Lepisosteus oculatus: one gene and its partners. The protein of the gene in region 3 purifies or fractionates together with the protein of the main gene of each other region. This does not show direct contact. Links are inferred from orthologs where the notes say so. Each region holds a gene or a part of one and is shown on either strand. Other genes may lie near its edges.

Evidence for each region.
Region 1: the proteins of slc39a4 (region 3) and LEM domain-containing protein 2 purify together in Homo sapiens (affinity purification with mass spectrometry; 3 studies listed by BioGRID and IntAct, counting the BioPlex papers as one, with this or other methods). This does not show direct contact. The link is inferred for Lepisosteus oculatus from reciprocal best matches to the Homo sapiens genes SLC39A4 and LEMD2.
Region 2: the proteins of slc39a4 (region 3) and mgat1b purify together in Homo sapiens (affinity purification with mass spectrometry; 3 studies listed by BioGRID and IntAct, with this or other methods). This does not show direct contact. The link is inferred for Lepisosteus oculatus from reciprocal best matches to the Homo sapiens genes SLC39A4 and MGAT1.

Annotation. Positions count from the first base shown.
Region 1 is NC_090700.1:40,714,851-40,722,074, forward strand, and holds the start of LEM domain-containing protein 2, read left to right. Parts: upstream 1-4,034; 5' UTR 4,035-4,040; coding exon 4,041-4,578; exon of another isoform or gene 4,579-4,813; coding exon 4,814-4,854; exon of another isoform or gene 4,855-5,324; intron 5,325-5,474; coding exon 5,475-5,586; intron 5,587-6,305; coding exon 6,306-6,382; exon of another isoform or gene 6,383-6,574; intron 6,575-7,050; coding exon 7,051-7,130; intron 7,131-7,224. Other genes in the region: mlnl (motilin-like), read left to right, coding at 734-850, 1,675-1,791, 2,339-2,441, 2,871-2,881. UniProt on the Homo sapiens protein: Nuclear lamina-associated inner nuclear membrane protein that is involved in nuclear structure organization, maintenance of nuclear envelope (NE) integrity and NE reformation after mitosis.
Region 2 is NC_090709.1:41,048,451-41,055,946, forward strand, and holds the start of mgat1b (alpha-1,3-mannosyl-glycoprotein 2-beta-N-acetylglucosaminyltransferase b), read right to left. Parts: upstream 3,191-7,496; 5' UTR 2,594-3,190; intron 1-2,593. Other genes in the region: vars2 (valine--tRNA ligase, mitochondrial), read right to left, coding at 4,799-4,876, 6,329-6,478, 6,560-6,741. UniProt on the Homo sapiens protein: Initiates complex N-linked carbohydrate formation. Essential for the conversion of high-mannose to hybrid and complex N-glycans.
Region 3 is NC_090705.1:33,283,461-33,291,373, forward strand, and holds the start of slc39a4 (zinc transporter ZIP4), read right to left. Parts: upstream 3,094-7,913; 5' UTR 2,809-3,093; coding exon 2,596-2,808; intron 2,577-2,595; exon of another isoform or gene 2,515-2,576; intron 667-2,514; coding exon 376-666; intron 1-375. UniProt on the Homo sapiens protein: Selective transporter that mediates the uptake of Zn(2+). Plays an essential role for dietary zinc uptake from small intestine. The Zn(2+) uniporter activity is regulated by zinc availability.

The DNA of each region.
Region 1 (7,224 bases), on a different chromosome or scaffold from region 3:
TCAGCAGAGCACTGAGGACACCTCTCTGAGGAGGACAGCACACAGCACATCGCACCAGGACACTGACAGCTCAGGTGAGAACAGCGCCACACTCATGGGCATCCAGCTGTGTGCCAATCCAGCAAGGCCAAGAAGGAACTGCTGCTCCACAGCTCTCAGATCTCATCTGCACTTGAAACCTAACTCCTCATCACATTCAAGCTAAGAAATGTTTCTTGATTTTTTTCTTGCTCAATCAAACGTCTCCTGTTTTTGTTCCGTAACTTGCTTAGAAGAATTTAACAGGAGAGGGGTTTGTATTTTATTTGCAGCCATAAAATAGTTTCTTTAAATTTAGGAAAAAAGTTTCAGCCCCAGTTTTTTCTTATGTGGAGACAGCATCTCTAAAAGCTGAAACTACAGGCACAGTGCAGCCTCTCCACTATGCCCAGATTTAGGATGATGGGTTCATGTCTGTTATAAATAAATCAAGGACGTTTAACATTCCAATAGGCCAGCGGACAACAAAGGTTTAGAAATGGGGTGGCTGGTTTGGAGATTTACTGTTGCAGGGTTAGCTAATTTGTTAGTGACTGGTACAAAAGCAGCTCTTATTATTATATCACTGCTGAAAAAGTAATTATATTCCTGCTTTAAAAGCTGTCCTCTGATTCAGTTATTGCTGACAGGTCTCTTGTGTGTCACACACTTTGACTTCAGTGCCTGTGTCTCTCGCACACTGCAGGGCACCAGAATGTTGCACAGCAAGGTGATTGGCTGCCTGCTGGGGGTGTGTGTGCTGGCCATGCTGGCTAAGCAGACGGAAGGCTTCCTCAGCTTCATCAGCCCTAGTGACATGAGGAGGATGATGGTAAGGTCCGGAGTAGAGAGAGGGAGACAGACTGAGAGTCTCCCCTCTGTGCCATACAAGTTGTTGTGTTGTACTACATACAGGAAGAACTTTGTGTATGAATGAGTGTTTGTGATGCATTTATCTTTATATGCATAGGCTGGATGTGTTGGAGGCATCTATGTTAGGATAAACACAACAATGAATTTGTTTAAAAGTATTTTGACATTTACTATGTTTTTACAAACTGGAGCTGAATCACACTTCAGTATGTCCATAAAATCTAAAATGGCTCTAAAATGCTTTGGCAATACTTGTAATTTATTCCAGCCAAAAAAGGTCTTCTGAATTCAAATCGGAACTCAAGAGAGAAAAGCTAGGAAAGAAACAAATATGTAATTCACAAAAGAATGCTCAACCAGAAAACCACAGGAGATCAACTGTTTACCTTTTCTTCCATTCAGCTCCTGAGTCCCTCTTAACTCATCTGCAGGTCTTTGTGGATATGTGTATCTCAGTGCGCCTGTGGAGGCTCACCTGAGTTTCAAGTCTGGGGTCTTGAGAGTCTTCGGGTCTGAGAGAGACAAACAGACAAACCAGAGCAGCCCAGTTCAGAAACACTGCTCTGCCTCCCAGTACAAGCAGGGTTCTCACCAGCTGAATACAGCAGTCTTCCTCATCAAGGATCTGTTCCTGCAGTGCTTTTGTTACCATGAGCCCCTGCTCAATCCAGTTACCATTAACACAACTCAAGTCAAAACACTGACAGAGATGCATGAAGGAAATCTCCTGCTCACCTATTTTCCCCTTTTAACACCTGCTGTGTCACACGCCCTCCTCAACAGGAGCAGGAGAAAGTGAAGGCAGGCAAGAAATCCGTGGACTTAGAGCCGAGATCTGAGGAGAGGGAGTTCGGGAAGTTGGCCAGCACGGAGTGGAATGTCAAGGATGACGCAGTCCAGGTAGGATGAGCCCCAGTCTGGCCGTACCAGGGGTCAGGAAGCCTAGGATCTTGCAGGCCATACTAATCATGGGGGTTCTAACTCAAATAATTGATTGACACTAAGTTGTTTAATTGGCCTTTCTGCTGCAGAATGTTTACATAATTAATGTTTATTTGGAAAACATGACCCGCAATGGAATGAAGGAGGTTGCTTTGCCTACACCAGTTATATGCTGAGCAGAAAGACAGGCCATCACCGGTGAGGTAACACAGAGATGATAAGGTAACTCACTTGAAATGTGATGAAAGAGATAAGGTGCATTCCATGAAGTTCTCAGGAAAGAGATGGAGCTTGGGATTAAACGAGGTCTCTTTTTATGGAATTAACTAGATGAGAGATAATACTCTATTAATCCCGTAGGGAAATTGATGACTTGATAAACTATTCATATTAAGTCTCAGTACAGGAATCCATTCTAACACATGAAGCTTTAGTGGGGTAAAGTCAGCTGTCTACTGCTCCTCTTTGTCCACTTGCCCACGCCTCTCCCTGTCTGTGCCTGCAGGAGCCCCTGGAGATCGGGGTGCGGCTGACCCACCAGCGGCTGAACAAGCTCGCTCCTGCCCTGGGGGAGATCCTCCAGGAAATGCTGGAGGAGGGACAGCAAGGTGAGGCAAGGCAGGCTGGCATACACTGGTCTAACACAGGTCTTTCCATATGCAGCCTGCCAACAGCACAGTCTATGAAAACAGCAGAAGAACCGTTAACTGACATGCAATTACTATACTAATAAATCTGTACAGTATATCCATAACACCTAAAAGTTATATAATCGTAAAAACAACAATAATAAACAATGTTATTTTATACATTGCCTTTAAAGGTTGTATAGTACTTTAAAGTAAGAAAAAATTACAAGAGGAGTTAACAGAATTAGCACAATTAAAAATAAGGGTTTGAATGCAGTAGAAGATACAAGGGGTAGACACAGACACCAATTAAATAAAAGCTTTTCATAATACTTTGCAAATACTTTTATGACAAATTTACAAAATCACATTGCTCTACTCATCCGTCCGTGTTCTTCTGCTTTTCAGTGGCCGAGTGAGGAGACGCCCAGCAGCTCTGATTTAAAGCAACTGGAAGTCGTTCTAATATTCCTAAAGCATGTCCACAGATACACTTTACCTCTTTACCATGCTTAATAAAACTGAATTGACCATTTAAAAGATTCCTTTCTCATGTTATTCTTTATTAAAGCAATACATCATTTCTGCACTGAATAAGTGTGTGAAGGACCATCTATATGGTACGGCATACATACCAAGAAATACATACCATTTAAGAAAATGGTGTGAGCTCAGTAACCTGGATCAGCAGTCTGAAAGAGTTTACATGTGAACTTGGAAAACTGATTACTGTGGTGAGACAGGGTATAAGCAGAGTAAAGTGTATAATGTAAAGTGTCTATGAACCTGTGGTAAAGGCTCAAATTAAATCATGACAGAGTTTTTTCAAGGTATACAACGTTTACAAGAATTGTAAATAGGTAAACTAAAAAAAAAAATTAAATTCCAAATATAATTTTCTCAGACCCACCAGTACATCTGCTGAGCCTTGCAGGCTTTTATAGGTGTGTAACTCCCCACAAAGTACATCAGCATTGTACAAAGATTAGGAGAGTCATAGATGAATGCTCCAAAGCTTCCAAAACTCGGTGAAAATATTACATTGTAAATAAACAAGAAGAATAAACTTTATTCCCTTCCTGATTATTGTGACTTGGCCTGTCCAGCGTCTGGGACAGATGGCTCAAGGTAGTCAGGTGGTGGCAGGACCCCAGGCACTGCAGTCAGGGTCCAACTGCTGTCTCGACAACAGGAGAAGCTGAGTGTTAGAGGCTGTAAAACTACTGGAATACCGACTGTATCTTCTTTCTCACAGAAATTGTAATAAGTACAAGTAATACATCCACATTCATAAAACAAGAATTTAAAACAAGACATAAACCCTCAATGTGAAATCAATGTTTTTATATTATTAAAACTTTATTGATACATCAAGAATGTACACGGCTATGTTTAAAATAAAAAAAACACTGAAATGTAGTGACAAAACGAATTTACATGAGAAATGTTTTTTTAATCAGCAACTGAACAGAGGCTCCATGCCTCTGCCTCTTGCGCACGGTTGTGTCCTTTCCAACATGGCGTCCCAGAACGCCCACCTCGGTGTGTTAAAACACACTTCCGCCCAGGACACTAAACATGGCCGCCTTCTCGGACGAGCTGCTCCGTAGGGAGCTGAAGTCCTTCGGTTATAGCCCGGGTCCCATATCCGATTACACAAGGAAACTGTACCAGAAAAAACTCCAGAAGCTACAGGCCACCGTTGACTACAACCGAGTGCATCTCCTCAGAGGCCAGTCTTACATCCACTCCCGACACCGGCACAGCAGCGGCAGCCCCCGGCACCGCCAGCGGACAGCCAGCTTCCACCGGGACAGCGAAGACTCGGACGACGACGACGACGACGACGACGATGAAGATGACTACGGGAGCAGGGTTCGCGATACTCGGGAGGACAGCCGGAACCGGCGGCTGTCCGACAGCACGAACTTTTCCTTCTTCAGAAGGGTGGACGCGCAGAGGCTGTATGACGGCTCCACCCGGCGAAATCGCTTCTGCGAGCGGCAGCTGTCCCGGGTTCTGCTGGCTTGCACCGTAATCCTCAGCCTGATTCTCATCTGGCTGGTTTATATGAAGACTGTGAGTCTGGGCCAGGCCGAGAACGCCAACAGCAACAGTGAGCAAATTCGCTTTTCTTCTTTCGTTTAATGAGTTGCTCTGGATTGAGAAACCCGCCCTTCACATCCGCATGCCTTGTCCCTGTCAGAGCGCCAAGGCTTATTAGTAACCCAGCTGCCCGGACCCTCGACTGCCGCTGTCTCAGTAAATACCCGCTTCACCCGCTTTCTGTTAAAGTTACTGCCCAGTTTGCTGTTGCTGTGGAAATTAACGCCTCTCTCCCCTTTTCCCAGTTCAAGGGCTGAGCGTGGACTGCGATGGGAAGACCGACACAGTAAGGCGAAAGTTGATTTTCAGTTTCCCAAAGTGATTTAGCGGCGAACGGCCCGGTCACAACAAGAGTAACAAGAGGGCAGTGGAGATTAGAAACTGTTGGGTTGACAAGTTCCGATGCAGGCTTTAATTGGGAGGAAAGAGAGTAGCAGCCAGTGAGGCAGAGTCGATGCTTTTCTGTCAAGAGCTTTGTGGCTGTGAAGTATTTCCAGACTTTTTTTCCAAACTCATGAGTTTGATGCGAGTACTGTTCTAGTGCTGGCTATGAAAAGGCGTGCTTTGCTTGTGGAATGTCTTGCAGCTGGCTGCTGACAGTGAGCAAACTCCAGCACCGGGAGGGCAGACAGGTGTATCTCCAGGCAGGGTGAGGGGGGTGGGACAGCAGCAGGTTCCCACACTTGTGGCTCCGTCTCCCGGTACACGTCAACACTTGCTACAGAGACCCACCTCCTTCAAACAGTATAGAGGAAACTGCAACCACAGTTAAACACGGGGATAATGATAGTAATGCAGTATTGAAAACAGTTCTGATGGGTACTGGGTCTTTGAGTGGAGGACAAGCACCATAGTTTGTGTAACACCTGTCTCTCTGTCTGCCCCTCTGTCCTCCTCCTTCCCCAGTACTGCAGGGCTCAGGAGCAGAGGGTGCAGCTGCAGTTGTTGTCAGAGCTGTACAGCTTCCTGGCGAAGGTGGCAGGTGAAGTGTCGGCCAGAGGGGAGGAGGGGGCGTGGGGTGAGCGTGTCGTGTGGAACAAAGATGTTGAGCCTTTGTGTCAATATAGCCCTCCTATAATAACCTGCTCCTAACCATATGTTGCAAACCAGTGGGTCGAATGAATCAGTGCGCCACACTGCTATTGTTAAATTTATTTGAAAAATACTCTGCATGGCATTCAGTTGTAAATACACCATTTATTCATAACTGGCCAGTATTGCTTAGCACTGTGCATTAGCGAAAGAGAAATCCAGCTCCAGGTAGTCTAAAAGATCTGCATACCACATTAACCCCCGTCTCCACCAATGTACGCAGAATACACCTTGATACAGAATTTCAGAATGGCTTTCACAAAGGTTGTGGGTACTTCCTGTGTTCTCTAAGACAGCTGAATAAGCACAGAGCTTTCTAATGTGTCACAGTCTTGCAAAACTCTGGAAACATTAAATCATACAAATATCACTGAATCACTAAGAGTTATGTGCTCAAACAAATAACAGAACAGCTAAATTAACGCAGTCCTAGTTAAATGACTTAATTTATGGAGTCATTTTTAAGTGAAATCACAGATTTGTTTTATTCATGAACGAAAGATCAAGCATTTCAAAACGTTTTACTAAAATGGGTCCTTCACTTGCTAGCTGTAGTCTTGAAACCAGAAGAGATTCTTGCATGCAAAAATTGTATAAGCAATTGGGCAACATACTGTATTACTCTCTCTCTCTCTTCTTGTTTAGGTGACTTCGAATGTGGGAACCCATCCAAACTGACGAATGCATGTGTTCCCATCGAAGACGTGAGGACTTACTTGGTGGTGAGCCTTTCCTCCCTGTGATGCTGGTTACACACTCGGAGACTGGAACACTGAACGTGGTGCCCTCGTGTCTGAGGAACTGGGCTCTGCAGCAGTGTGCCCACTTCCTCTCACTGCAGCTCAGCTCTGTCTCTTTAATGACCCGATAACTTCATTCATTTGAATTCTTTGTTTTTTTCTACCTGCTAAGATCTTAAAAAATGGAAAGTTGAGCATGAAAGTGTGAAATAAACTGAAAACGATGAACAGTTCTGAATTATGAAAACAGGTGAGGATTTCCATGCAGCAAACTGAGGGGCTGCTGCAGAGTTTCCATGGGAGCTGCCTGTTTATCCCTCACACTCCACTCTGACCCTGTTGATCTTAAAACATGTCACGACCAGCAAGGGTCTGTGCCCCCAGCATTGATACTTTTGACAGTCTGCAGACTTAAGCTTAAATTTTCCAAGGTATCACTTCTCAAACTGCTGAATCTAGGGAATTGAGACTTTTAAAATGCAGCTGTATGGCAGGATTGTCATAGGACAGGAGCTGTGTAGATCAGTTCAACATGCACTTAAGAGATCTGTGTTCACCTGCTCTGACTGCAGTGGACGTGTCCTGTCTTTATTTCTCTGTAATTAAGTTATCTGCCCATGCCAGGAACTGAACTGAAATCTCTTCAGCAGATTTTAAACAAAGACTATGCAAGCAAGCTGGAGGCAGCGCTGGAATGGATTCTCCAGAGTGAGACAGACCTGGGAATTCAGTAAGTGCTCAAAGTTAAGAACTCTAAGAAGGCTTGGTTAGGTATTATCAAACCTGCTCCAGTGAGAAATCAGAAGGTGGTAATTAGTCAAAGC
Region 2 (7,496 bases), on a different chromosome or scaffold from region 3:
AGAGTCACACAAGATTCCCTTATAAAATTAAAAAGTGTGGAGTCACACCAGACTTATAAAAGTGTGTGAACAGGGTGTACAGAGTCACACCACCTCCCCTTATAAGGCGCCACGAGTCTCACTGGGGTGGTTTGATCAGGAACAGCAGGGCAGAGGAACTGCAGCTTTCTGGGCAAGAAAACGAGTCTCCATGGGACCTGCTGGTCAGAGAACACCCAGCTCTCTGTCTGGACCGCAGGGCGGCTGAAAACATGAAACAGCGGGAACACAGACAGGCTCAAACGCAGTTTTAAGGGAAACTTTCCAGCTCGGCAGGCTGTAAAACCGACTCGTGCAGGGTATCGCATCTCATCATGCACGTCAGGCAGACGCAGGTGTTCCTTTTAACGGCTTGGAAACACCTGCGGTTTCACCGAAAAAACCCTACCGCGCCAGGATCAGAAACATCCCGCTGCGTTTCAAGACGCGCAAGAACTCTGAAACCGAGGCAACAGCTGCAGAAAAACCTCAAACTCCGTCCTTCTCAACTGCAACCTCACCCTCACACTCCTCCTCCTCCTCAGATCTGTACACGACTGGAGAGACACTCAGTCTGATCACCTCCAGCTTCACCCTCACACTCCTCCTCCTCAGATCTGTACAGGACTGGAGAGACACTCAGTCTGATCACCTCCAGCTTCACCCTCACACTCCTCCTCCTCAGATCTGTACACGACTGGAGAGACACTCAGTCTGATCACCTCCAGCTTCACCCTCACACTCCTCCTCCTCCTCAGATCTGTACAGGACTGGAGAGACACTCAGTCTGATCACCTCCAGCTTCACCCTCACACTCCTCCTCCTCCTCAGATCTGTACAGGACTGGAGAGACACTCAGTCTGATCACCTCCAGCTTCACCCTCACACTCCTCCTCCTCCTCAGATCTGTACAGGACTGGAGAGACACTCAGCCTGATCACCTCCAGCTTCACCCTCACACTCCTCCTCCTCAGATCTGTACAGGACTGGAGAGACACTCAGTCCAGCTCCTGTGCTGTATAGACAGGACAGACAGGATAAACCAGTTCTCTCCAAACAGGTAAAGAGAAAAGGAACACGAGAACTTCACTAAGTTCCCTTTTTAAGAACACAATAACGAGAAAACTGAGACCGGTGGGAAAAAGCGTATACAGCCGATGGGACCCTGCGTGTGTGTGTCCGTGTTACTGCGAAAGAGTGTGTTGGGTGTGTGTGTTTGCGAGACGATAGTGTGACAGTGTGTATAACAGTGTGTTGGAGAGAGTGTGTGTGTGTGTCAGACTTCGAGTGCATCAGAGTGCCAGAACAGGTGTGGTACGATCAGTGAGCCGTGATCCGTGACCGGGTCAATATTTGCATTGTAGAGTCAGAACAAAGCCTGAGGTAACACAAAACAGCACTAGAGACACTACACTCATACCTGTACATAGACACCTGGTGTCCAGACTGAACAGCTGCTCCAATATGTCCAGACAGGTGAGTGTGTACAGTGTGTCAAGTAAGAGTCTGGACAGGTGTTTCTGTACAGTGTGTCCAGTGAGAGTGTGGACAGGTGAGTGTGTCCAGTGAGAGTGTGGACAGTGTGTCCAGTGAGAGTGTGGACAGGCGAGTGTGGACAGTGTGTCCAGTGAGAGTGTGGACAGGCGAGTGTGGACAGTGTGTCCAGTGAGAGTGTGGACAGGCGAGTGTGGACAGTGTGTCCAGTGAGAGTCTGGACAGGCGAGTGTGTACAGTGTGTCCAGTGAGAGTCTGGACAGGCGAGTGTGTCCAGTGAGAGTCTGGACAGGCGAGTGTGTCCAGTGAGAGTCTGGACAGGCGAGTGTGTCTCTACAGTGTGTCCAGTGAGAGTCTAGACAGGTGGGTGTGTCTCTACAGTGTGTCCAGTGAGAGTCTGGACAGGTGGGTGTGTCTCTACAGTGTGTCCAGTGAGAGTCTGGACAGGTGGGTGTGTCTCTACAGTGTGTCCAGTGAGAGTCTGGACAGGTGGGTGTGTCTCTACAGTGTGTCCAGTGAGAGTGTGGACAGGCGAGTGTGTACAGTGTGTCCAGTAAGAGTCTGGACAGGCGAGTGTGTCCAGTGTGTCCAATGAGAGTCTGGACAGGCGAGTGTGTACAGTGTGTCCAGTAAGAGTCTGGACAGGCGAGTGTGTACAGTGTGTCCAATGAGAGTCTGGACAGGCGAGTGTGTACAGTGTGTCCAGTAAGAGTCTGGACAGGCGAGTGTGTACAGTGTGTCCAGTAAGAGTCTGGACAGGCGAGTGTGTCCAGTGTGTCCAGTAAGAGTCTGGACAGGCGAGTGTGTACAGTGTGTCCAGTAAGAGTCTGGACAGGCGAGTGTGTCCAGTGTGTCCAGTAAGAGTCTGGACAGGCGAGTGTGTACAGTGTGTCCAGTGAGAGTCTGGACAGGCGAGTGTGTCTCTACAGTGTGTCCAGTAAGAGTCTGGACAGGCGAGTGTGTACAGTGTCTGTACACCGGGTATCACACACAGCGGCACAAGACAGTACACGGTGACCACACACACACTCCGCACCCGTGTCCGTGCTGCCCGGGACCGCACCGAACCGAGCGATCGCACCTGGGACACACTGCTGCTGTCCGGCCGCCGTCTCCGCTGTCCAACTCTCCGGGTCCGCTACCCGCGTGTCAGCACCTCCCCATCGCCGCCGGCCCCCCTCCTGCTCCCGCTCCCCGTCCGATCTCCCGCTCTCTCCGGCTTCCCGACGGCTACCGGGGATCCGCCATTGACTCTCCGGCAGAAAAAAAACATCCGACGGCGACCCGACGGGCAGGAGGGAACGTCTTTACCACCCAGAGGGCGACCGTCTCTTGCCCTCTCCCGGTTTAGGCCACAGAGACGAACTCAAGTACCGGAGCGGGAGGGGAGGGTGGAGAGGGGAGGGAAAAAAAAAGAGCAGAACTCCACAGCCGCCCAGCCTCGCTCGCAAACACACACACACACTCCCTCCTCTCCGCCACAACACCACTTCCGGACTGCCTGGAACGGGAAGTCCCGCCCCCCCCGCGGCCCCAGCGCTTCCTCCCAGCAACCCCCCGGCCTCCTGAGCGTCTCCCCTAGCAACTGTAGCGCGGCGCGTCAGAGCCGCCGAGGGGGGAGTTGGCCTGCTGTGATTGGGCGATGGCAGAGGAGGCGGGGACAGGAGCAGGGACTGGGACACGCCCCCCCTCCTCCTCCTCCTCCTGCTCAGCAGCACACAGAGCTGCTCCGGCTAGGAGCTTGATTTTCACATCGATTACAAAATAAAACATTTTATGACGTTAGTTAGATGCGACGCCATTTGAATTTCACGTTTAACATTGTAGCGGGAGAAAAGGCTGCATTTGCAGGTGCACACTGGTGGGGGTGGAGGGGATCCCCAATACCTGTAAAGCGCTTTGAGTGGAGTGTCCAGAAAAGCGCTATATAAGTGTCAGCAATTATTATTATTATTTGCGTTCGAACTCCACGAAAGTGCGTTATCGGCGCCATCAGCCTGGCAAAGCCAGCTTGTTCCCAACAACACAAACCGGAGGACTGGAGCGGAACATCACAGAGACGTGCGACTATACACAGAGGGGGGTGGGGGTGGGGAACAAGCTGCCCAGCCCTGTGGTTGAAGCCGATACCCTGGCTCCTCTCCAGACACAGCTGGGTGAGCTCTTCCAGTCAGGACAGGGGGGCTCTTCTGTACACAGAGGGGGGTGGGGGTGGGGAACAAGCTGCCCAGCCCTGTGGTTGAAGCTGATACCCTGGCTTCTCTCCAGACACAGCTGGGTGAGCTCCTCCAGTCAGGACAGGAGGCTCTTCTGTACACAGAGGGGGGTGGGGGTGGGGAACAAGCTGCCCCAGCCCTGTGGTTGAAGCCGATGCCCTGGCTTCTCTCCAGACACAGCTGGGTGAGCTCCTCCAGTCAGGACAGGGGGGGGCTCTTCTGTACACAGAGGGTGGCGGGGGTGGGGAACAAGCTGCCCAGCCCTGTGGTTGAAGCCGATACCCTGGCTTCTCTCCAGACACAGCTGGGTGAGCTCCTCCAGTCAGGACAGGAGGCTCTTCTGTACACAGAGGGTGGTGGGGGTGGGGAACAAGCTGCACAGCCCTGTGGTTGAAGCCGATACCCTGGCTCCTCTCCAGACACAGCTGGGTGAGCTCCTCCAGTCAGGACAGGGGGGGGGGGCTCTTCTGTACACAGAGGGTGGCGGGGGTGGGGGTTAATTCACTGGACTTTCCCACAGCTGGGCGCTCTGCGCCAGGAGAAACGGCTTAGCTCTGGGCGGCCCACCCCCAGACCCCGGTACTCTGCACGTTTCCTCTCCAGCCCCAGTCTTAACCCCGGCCCGTGACGGTCTGAACGGGGGGGGCCGACCGGAGCCCCTCCCAGAACGGGGGGCCCTTCCTGCAGCGCCATCTGTACCCCTCCCCCAGGAGCGCCCCCAATCGATACAGGTTTGTGAATGTTTTATTTTCAAGTACCAGTACAGGAGGCTGGGAGGACAACAAACAGACTTTTCTTTTGAAGGGGACGTCCGCTTCCGATCAATATCTCTCGACGTCAAATCGCCGTCAGAACCCAACAGCAAGAGATCCTTCGGCCTTCGAGACGAGAGTCTCAATTATCTGAAGGGTCACTTGTTGTGAAAAGCGCTCCCCCCGTTCCTTAGTCTCTGTCTCCCTCTTGTGGGCTGCTGCGGTATTGCAGCCGCCCGGGGGGAGAATTTCTCTCGCCGCCTGGTGGTCGGACCCGGGTACTGCGGCTAAACACTGTGCCGTCTCGTCAAGATTTCTTTACGTCTCTGTCTGGATGCGCCGCAGCGCCGCCAGCTGGTCGTCGATGCTCTGCAGCTCCACTCGCAGGGCGGACACCTGTGGAGGAGAGTCGTGGGCTGGGTTAAAAAGGAGCATTTCATCCCCGTTGCTGAGCAGGGTCAGTGTGTCCTGTGATGGACTGGTGTCCTGTCCAGGGTGTGTGAGTGTGTGTCTGTGTCCTGTGATGGACTGGTGTCCTGTCCAGGGTGTGTGAGTGTGTGTGTGTCCTGTGATGGACTGGTGCCCTGTCCAGGGTGTGTGTGTGTGTCCTGTGATGGACTGGTGTCCTGTCCAGGGTGTGTGAGTGTGTGTGTCCTATGATGGACTGGTGTCCTGTCCAGGGTGTGTGAGTGTGTGTGTCCTGTGATGGACTGGTGTCCTGTCCAGGGTGTGTGAGTGTGTGTGTGTGTGTGTGTGTGTGTGTGTGTGTGTGTGTCCTGTGATGGACTGGTGTCCTGTCCAGGGTGTGTGAGTGTGTGTGTCCTGTGATGGACTGCTGTCCTGTCCAGGGTGTGTGAGTGTGTGTGTGTCCTATGATGGACTGGTGTCCTGTCCAGGGTGTGTGAGTGTGTGTGTCCTGTGATGGACTGGTGTCCTGTCCAGGGTGTGTGAGTGTGTGTGTGTCCTGTGATGGACTGGTGTCCTGTCCAGGGTGTGTGAGTGTGTGTGTGTGTCCTGTGATGGACTGCTGTCCTGTCCAGCATGTGTGAATGTCTGTGTGTGTGTCCTGTGATGGACTGGTGTCCTGTCCAGGGTGTGTGAGTGTGTGTGTGTCCTGTGATGGACTGGTGTCCTGTCCAGGGTGTGTGTGAGTGTGTGTGTCCTGTGATGGACTGGTGTCCTGTCCAGGGTGTGTGTGTGTGTGTGTGTCCTGTGATGGACTGGTGTCCTGTCCAGGGTCTGTGTGTGTGTCCTGTGATGGACTGGTGTCCTGTCCAGGGTGTGTGAGTGTGTGTGTGTGTCCTGTGATGGACTGCTGTCCTGTCCAGGGTGTGTGAGTGTGAGTGTGTGTGTCCTGTGATGGACTGGTGTCCTGTCCAGGGTGTGTGAGTGTGTGTGTGTGTCCTGTGATGGACTGGTGTCCTGTCCAGGGTGTGTGAGTGTGTGTGTGTGTGTCCTGTGATGGGCTGGTGTCCTGTCCAGGGTGTGTGAGTGTGTGTGTGTGTGTCCTGTGATGGACTGGTGTCCTGTCCAGGGTGTGTGAGTGTGTGTCCTGTGATGGACTGCTGTCCTGTCCAGGGTGTGTGAGTGTGTGTGTGTGTGTCCTGTGATGGACTGGTGTCCTGTCCAGGGTGTGTGAGTGTGTGTCCTGTGATGGACTGCTGTCCTGTCCAGCGTGTGAGAGCTCAGCCTGTGAGCAAGAACAGTGTTAATTAATCGCAGCGTGTCCTATGCCACAATACGGTCAGAGAGTCACTGTGTCGTTCCCGGTCCCCGCCAGTGTGTAGTTCACTGCGTCGGTGAGTCATGGCGTCAGTGTGAATCCAGTCCGCGCGTCAGGTGTCTCACCCGGCGGGCCTGCTCCTCCCTCACTCTCTCGGGCACCCTCTGCTCGTACCCTCGGACCCGGGACCGGCCCAGGGCCTCCTCCAGGCGGGCCGCCACCTTCTCCCTCCGCCGAGACAGGGAGACGCTCTGCTGCAGCACGTCCACGCTGCCCTGGGAGACAGAGACGCGCGGTCACCACCCAGCGGGGGGGTGAGGCGGATTAGGGCTCGCACCCGAGGCCGAGGCTGTTACCTGGACGCGCAGGTGCACCTGACAGTGGGCGTTGACCACGCCCACGGCGCAGCCGGGTGGGGGGGCGGCTCCCTCCGCTGGCCGCAGGAGGTGCAGCGCCCCGGCGCGCGACAGGGTCCGAGCCGGAGAGAGGAACTCCTGCAGCACCGCGGACAGGCCCGGGTCCGAGCACAGCACCCACACTGTAACAGGACACACAGTCACGTCACCTCAGTGACACACTGACACATCACCCACACTGTAACAGGACCCAGAGTCACGTCACCTCAGTGACACACTGACACAGCTCCCACACTGCGACGGGACCCAGAGTCACGTCACCTCAGTGACACACTGACACAGCACCCACACTGCAACAGGACACACAGTCACGTCACCTCAGTGACACACTGACACAGCTCCCACACTGCGACGGGACCCAGAGTCACGTCACCTCAGTGACACACTGACACAGCTCCCACACTGCGACGGGACCCAGAGTCACGTCACCTCAGTGACACACTGACACAGCTCCCACACTGCGACGGGACCCAGAGTCACGTCACCTCAGTGACACACTGACACAGCTCCCACACTGCAACGGGACACACAGTCACGTCACCTCAGTGACACACTGACACAGCTCCCACGCTGCAACAGGACACACAGTCATGTCACCTCAGTGACACACTGACACAGCTCCCACACTGAAACAGGACACACAGTCACGTCACCTCAGTGACACACTGACACAGCTCCCACACTGCAACGGGACCCAGAGTCACGTCACCTCAGTGACACACTGACACAGCACCCACACTGCAACAGCACACACAGTCACGCCACCTCAGTGACACACTGACACAGCTCCCACACTGCAACAGCACACACAGTCACGCCACCTCAGTGACACACTGACACAGCTCCCACACTGCAACAGGACACACAGTCACGCCAC
Region 3 (7,913 bases):
TCAGTAAAGACATTTTCAAACCTTTTCCCCTGTGTGCACATTGTTGTATCTGGAGAGTACCTTGAGAGCTCAATCCTGCCGCCAACATGCCTACTTCATTTGTTACGTTCATGTTTTATACAACCAAATATATAAGCAGAACATGGCTTGAGGGAGAAACCACAGCTGAGTAGTTAGGGAGGACAGATTAAAAATATTCAGGGTATGGATAAGCCTGTTGTTGCAATATAAGCAAATCAAATCACACATACAGTACAGGTAACGCACAAATCTAGAGAACGTGCATACAGTAGTTCTCAGCGGAATGCTGCAGGCAGTTCAAGGCCTTTAGCTGGAAGTTTTCTGTGTAATGCACTGAATCAGCACTGTACTTACCTGATCTTTGCCCATTGCAAGGCAATGCCTTTCAATTTTATGGAGCATGTGATCTAACTCAACAGGACTGAGGTCAAAACCATCTCCTTGGTTGCCTTTAGCTTTAATGCCCTGCACGAACGCCTCGGTTTCCCTCTGCCACTGGTTTTCCTTCACAGCAGCACACGCTTCAGCTGGATCGCTCATGTAGAAGCACAACCCAGGCGCGACCTTGAAAAACCCTTCACTGTCCAATCTACTGGCTGTTGAAAAGCCAGGATAAAGCTGAGCCAGATCAGCAGGAGAAAGACACTGGAGGCAAACAGAAATAAAACAATTGGGGAAAAAAATAGCATTAAATCACTATTTTCAGGTTGCTATTCTCCTACCTTGGACAAATCATTAAGCACTTTACTACATTTCATATGGTTATTTACTATCACTATACAGTAGATGAAATTCAATATCAGCTCTCCAATTGTAACCCCCAATAGGCATGTTTAAGAAAGATAATTGCTTATTTCTATTTTTTTGTATTTTTAAATATGAAAAACGTTTTTTTTGTAATAATATTCATGATTTGAGCTCCACAGTAAGTGAAGTGCCTCCATATTTGTCAGTATTCCATTCACTGAGCAGTCAAGCCATTCAGTAGTATGAGAAATAAAATGTTCATTAGTTGCCTGGATGTGGGAGTATTGACAAATTGCTATATCCTGGACTGTCCAAACAATGCTTTTCTGATTACGTAAAATCAATACATACTTCATACCTGCATTGGAGTTCATGGCCAGTCTAGGGTAATTTTTAGCTAATGTTTTGTAGTCCGGCTGGGAAGGAATTATAAAGTCAATTCTTTAGTTAAATATTATTCTGCCAATATTATATATTATTCAAACCCAAAAAGGATTTTGGTTAACTCTACAATGACCCAAATAGCAGGGGGAACAAAATATGAGGAAAATAGAACAGTCTGGATATATCTGGATGTTTGATCCAATGAATCTTACTGTCTCCATACTTTCTGAATCATGTTTCAATGTTTGTAAACATCATCTCTTTCCTACATATTTCCTACAGCTATTCTTTGTGGATGCCTTTAAAGTCAGGTTAAAAAAAACTTTAGCCATCTTATTGTGAAATTGTGTGTTAACTAAAATGATCATGTGTTTGATCAGAGCAACTGGAGATGAATACCACACTGAGAGCAAAACTGAGCATGAGTGAAAGAGTGTATGATATTGATTATTATTCATGATCATTTAAGATGTCAGACATGAAGTCACAGTAGTGGATCTTGTTTTAAGAGGTTAGTAATCCATTTTTGTATAAAGTGAAGTATTAGGTATGAGAAAGTACACCAGTGCAGTATGCCAGTTCATCATGGGTATCAACCTCTGACGTTCACATTTTTCATTTTGCAACAAGATACTACTGTAGATATCTAAGATATCTAGCACACCTTTCATGGAAAATTAAGACTGTGGTTTAAGTGTTAATTTTAACATTGAAAACATTTTAACTAATAGTTTGTCCTCACAAATTTTCACCTAACTGTATTTATAATGTAACATCAGTCTCAATACGTATAACACAATAATATATAACATACTCCTGTTTAAAATTAGGAAAACAAAAATATACAAAGTTCTATAAAATGGAGGGATTTTTTTCCCCAATTACATTTTTAGGTTTAATACATAATTAAAATACATTTATGTTTCAATGCAGAGGATACATACAGTACTTAGCAACATCAATCCAAAGCAGTAATAGAAGAGTGTTTAATAAAAAATTAGGAATATTTTGTCCATTTTTATCATTTTCACAAATTCAACAGCCTTCAATATGCAGTCTTTCTTCATTTTTTAAAATGTTTTCTTTTCTTTATAGAATACAATGGAAACTCAGGCTTCTTCGGCAATATTTAAAAAAGTACGGTAGTTTTATTTAAAAAATATACCATGTTTTGGGCTTAGCACAGTTTTTTTTCTCACAACATTTCAAGATGTTGCTATAGGATCTGACTGTTAAGAGATGGCTTAAAGTCTCACTGTTTGGAATGACTGGTTGCAAGGGATTTTCTATAAAAATGTCAGGTTATTGTAAGCAGAAGTCTTTAAAAATCTGTTCTGAAGTGTGCACTATCTACCCTTCGAGGCAAAGAAGCTGGCTGGCGATTTGGACCTCGACCTCTCTGCAACCGACTAGAAGGAGCTGAAGTGAGTAAAAATAGTTTACCTTTTCACACGACACATCAGAGCATTGCACACGTTTCTTCAAGATATTTAAAAAGGAGTGAACAGCATTCTCGTTCAAGTAGGCTTCTCCGGTTGACAACAGGTCCACCACCTTCACAAAAACCTCTTTTCTAGAGGACTGCTCACCACTGTACATGTCCAAAGAAACAAGAAACCACAGAAAAAATGGGAAAACCACCTGTAGTAAAGCCATTGATATGAAGGTTTTGGGGCAAAAGAAGACCAAATGTGATGAAGAAAGGTGCCCTCCAATGAATTTAGGATGGAATTCTGGGTCCTTCTGAGACCGTTTTTGTCCCTTTACTGAATCTTATACTTCTGTATATCTAATCTCCAACAAGTATTCTCTCTCCCTTTCTTCCTCACTCTCATGTGATTGGCTCAGAGGAAGCTTTATGCTTCTTCTCTGTTCCATAAAACTGAAAGGTCTGCAAAACTTCACCTAGATTATGAAATGAGACCCTACAACTATTTTGTTCGGTCTTCAATGACTAATGCTCTTCCAAGCCAGTCTTAGTCAAATAAAAAAAAATGTGAACTATTCTCCCCTCGCTACATTCTTTAAATACAATACCCATTCAATGTGCTTATTCATATTGCTGGTCGGACAGCAGATTAAGGTTCTTTTTGTTTGTGGTTGTTTTCTGCAGACTTACTGTATTCTCACTGGAACTGATATCAAAACAACCCATATTTTATTAGTGATGTAGTTACTCTCGTATATGCTTGAAGGGGAATGACAAATTAGAACTAGTGTTGAAACGGATTCATGTTGTTTCATTAATGAAGAATTCTAAAACAAAGAAGGCATCTTCTTGAGAATAAAAATGTTATTTACTTTTTTAATTTTTTATGTATGTTTAATAAAAACAAAAGCATGGTCAAAAGGTTTCTTGCAGTGTGAGCCATGAATTGTTATTATAAAGAACAGAATAACTTCTGCCATTATTTATGAGACTATTAGATGAGTCTGAAAGCACTGAGCAGAATAACTTATCATGATCTACTATTGTCTTACATAGGCATCCGATGGTTTTAATATATATCAGTACAGTAAAAAAAATTCTGGTGTACAGTACCTTTCTTGTGTTGCCTCTATTTGCAATAAGTCTTGGGAAGGAGATGTCAGCATCCAGACTGTAGATGTTTACTGTTGAATTACCACAGTGTGAAGATATCATTGTTTTAGCAATTGCAAGGTTTGAAAAGCAAGCAACTAGTTATATGCAGAGCGTGACTAAGCTGTCACATATGATTGCAGTATTGCACTCGTGTATTTACTCAATATGTAAATATTTACAGTCCCTATACTGTTTCATTCCAATTTCAATAGAATTCAATTCCGATAGAATCAACCAGTCTGGGTACTGTGCCTGTAAAAGCTTTGGAAGTTACATAAAATATTGTTTAATTGTAATGTTGCAAAGATCTAATGTTTAATAGGGTAAGCTACTTTTGTGCATATTTCAGATATCAATTATAATTAAACCCATATAATTAAATCATTAGCATGTTTGTAAGTAAAAGCTGTTATCATGGGGGATTTAATTTGAGTCAGAAACTGAAAATACACATGGTTAATAGCCATGAAAGAGCACCTATTAGGGGAAATATCAGCATTGATCTGGTCTTTTCTAGATAAAAATAAGTACCACACAGGTGACAGACTCATTAGAAAACTGTGATCATCATATGGTGTTTTCAAATATATTTGGAAACTGTACTAAATCCCAATCTTGGCCTACATCAAAACTTTGAATTATTGTGGTTTTCAAGTGGACTGGACAAGATAAATGAGTAAATCTAAAGCTAATAAAGCTGTAGTCCAGCTTCTTTAATATATAAATAAGAAAGATATAAGAAGAAAGCCATTTATAAAATTTAAATTCTCCAGAATACAGGAAAAAGCAGGAATATAATACAATGGGAGCTAAAACAAACTTTTTAAGTATTACAGCAGGAAAGGAAAAGTAAATGAAGTGTCTGAGGGATAGGAATAGAAAATGCTTAGATGATGCAAGGGCATGGTGAATTTATTAGATGAATATTTAACTCAAAAACTGACAGCAAAATGAAAAAAACAAAAACAAAGATTTATATTAAATGAAGTCCTGCAGGTTAAATCCTAATTTCGCACATTTCCACTTGCCTGCAGTGTGTATATAAATCGCGCATCCCAAATGTCACATCTCAAATCTCACTCACACCCCTCCCACCACCCTACCTGCATCCTTGCAGGAACTCTTAAGCGTAGTTCTCACAATAGTCAAGGGAAGTTTAGGCAAGCCTTAATCTCATGGCTGGGCTGGCACACCCTCAGCTAGACGAGTCACTCAAAATATGGTCAACATATTTCGTTCCTCTATCATATTCTGCAATCTAACCTAACTGAAATAATATTTCACTCAAAATATGGTCAACATATTTCGTTCCTCTATCATATTCTGAAATCTAACCAAACTGAAATAATATTTCACTTTGGGGGATTGAGTCCTCTAGATCCACCTGCACCTGGAACAGAAGAATACAATGACTGGTTCACGAGGAATGAAAAAGCGCCCCAAATCAAAGCGTAATTAACTATTGTGGAGCGAGTGTTTGGCTTAACACACTTGGCTGAGGGCCGACCCCCTGGCCATAGGCCGAGGAGGCCAGGACCCCCACGCAGGGTGACCAAGGGGTCGCTGCAGAGGTGGAGTTGGGGTGGAGGTGGGATGCAAAAGTTGCATGCGAGGGAGGGAGATATCGCATTTGGTACTGTATTTACAGCGTTTGGTGGAGGAAGGACGAAGGGAGTGATTGCTAATCACTGACAGCTGGGAATGATTGAGCGAGGTTGTTGTCATCCCTCCCGAACTTTCATTAAATAAACTCCATAAACCGTCACGGACAGTTGGCCGCTATTTTGTGTATCTACTGTATGTGTAAAAAGAGTTGGTCATTGGAAATGTTGGCAACATGACTGCAGAGAGCATCGTCTTTCAAAACAAAGACGAGACAAGTCGTGTTACAGGTACTGGATGAATTTAAAATAAATCTCTAGAAATTAATGGTGTTTAACAAAAATACTTGGCAATTAACAAAATACTTCCGATAGTGGCTAAAGATTTTTTTCTTTTCATGTTTCAAAATGGAAATTTTATTTAAAAAGGTGGCAAAACTGAACCAAGTAATTATAGACAAAGACGTTTGAGTAGGTAGCTGCGTCATCATGTGTAGGGTGAAAAGGAGCAGGTAAATGTTTATTCCACTCTGAGAGTACAAATAAGGAGTGTAAGTAGCACAGTACTACAGGGATTCATATTGCTCATCCTAATATACAGTACACCAATGATTCAGATTGTGGTATAGGTTGTAAACTAGTGCAATTTGCCAAATTCAAAAGGGGAGGAGTAGCAGAAAAACAGTGTATTTTTACTATCTGTGCACCATTTAAGCATAAGATAGAAAACTCTAATGAAAGAGTAACTTGTGAAAATGACTGCAGTATTTATGGAGACATCAGTTCTATGTCCAACACAATTTAGAGAAATTGTAAGTATAAAAATATTAGGATACAGCTATATAAGAGTTAATAGTACACACTGTGGATCTAGGGATCTAGGAATGTTATGCTAAACTTGTATCAGTCCCTGGCTCAAAGGAATATCCTACAAAAGTCTACAGATAATTACACTTATATAGCGCTTTTTCTGGACAATCCACTCAAAGCGCTTTACAGGTAATGGGGACTCCCCTCCACCACCACCAATGTGCAGCATCCACCTGGATGATATGACGGCAGCCATAGTGCACCAGAACTACTAGCTCACCACACACCACACATCAGCTATCAGTGGGGAGGAGAGCAGAGTAATGAAGCCAATTCATAGAGGGGGATTGTAACTGGCAGGAGTTATTGCAGTATTAAGCACAAGCAAAAACTTTAGAGTTTAGTTGAGTTCATTTGGCAACCAAAATGTTTTAAAGGACGTGGAGAGTGCTCCGAGTCTTTATAATGAGTCCGGATAAGTCACATTATTTTCTTTCTTATCCATTCTGAAAGTCTCCTTGGTCACATCCCTTTCAAAGTTTATGTTTGGTCTATTCCTTTCAAGAACAGTTCCCTTTAATATGTATTCATGAACAGTATAGCAGGATTTTCAAGAAAGGGTATATCTCCTCACTGTACATCCAGCAAGAAAAAGCTGCTTTATCACCTTTATTATAAGAACTACACAGTTTCACAGCCTCTGGTATAGATTTCTTTCTGCGTTCTGTTCTTAATATCAGAGAACAGAATGTGCTGACATTGGAGAACAGTAATGGGCATACTGTATGAAACAATGTACTTTTGAAAATAAGTGCCAAGTCTTTGTGCTGTGGATGCATTTAATACCGTCCTCATTTCAGCAAAGACTTGCATCAAACATCAGCATGTAGAGTCTTGATCGGAATAAGACTGCCTTGATTTTCAGTTGTTTCTTTATCCGTCTTTAGTTTACATTTTCAATATCTATTGATTACAGTTCTTCATTCAGTCTTACACAACTTTAGCCTTTCCATCACGCTAAATAAAATCTTTATAAGCATCTATGGATACACGCCACGATTAGCTAAAGTATGTGTTGTGGTAGGAGCTCTCTGTACCTGCAGCCTTGCCTTAACACCACAACCCAAAAAGCAAGGAATGAGGAATGTGGAATATCCAGCCCTCACTGCAATTGTTGTTAAATACTTCTAGTGTTTGGTCTGAGAGTGAGAGACGGTGTAACAATCACAGTCTTTCAGTTATGAGCTGAGATCCCTTTCAGCTTAAATGTAGCTGTAATGGAAACCAATAACAGGCAGTCTTACACTACCCCCTTATGATGGCTAACTAGAGGATAATATTACTGGGAAAAGATTTAAAGTGAAATTACAGCAAAATGTGTCCCCTGTTTCCAACCAGATTTTAGGACCAATGTAGTTTGGTAAATGTACAGGAAGCACATTCCTGTAATGAAAGAACAGATTTCTACCAGAATACCTGTTCAGACTTCCTTTTCAACCACAAGGCACATTTTTACTTCTCCTTCTCTGTCATACTATATATCACACTTGGAGTAGCTCCTGACTCCTTTTGAAAATGAGCTTAGGTCAGAGCATCTGACACTGTGACCATTCCAATATTCATCCCAGATCTGTTTCATACTGAAGCTGTAAGGATGAAAGTGAACCCAATTACACTTTAAAATGATCTAACTTTGTCTTTGTCAAGCAGCTGTTGTCTACATACTGTGACTACTGCTTTAAAGCCAATGTGCAAAATGAACTACA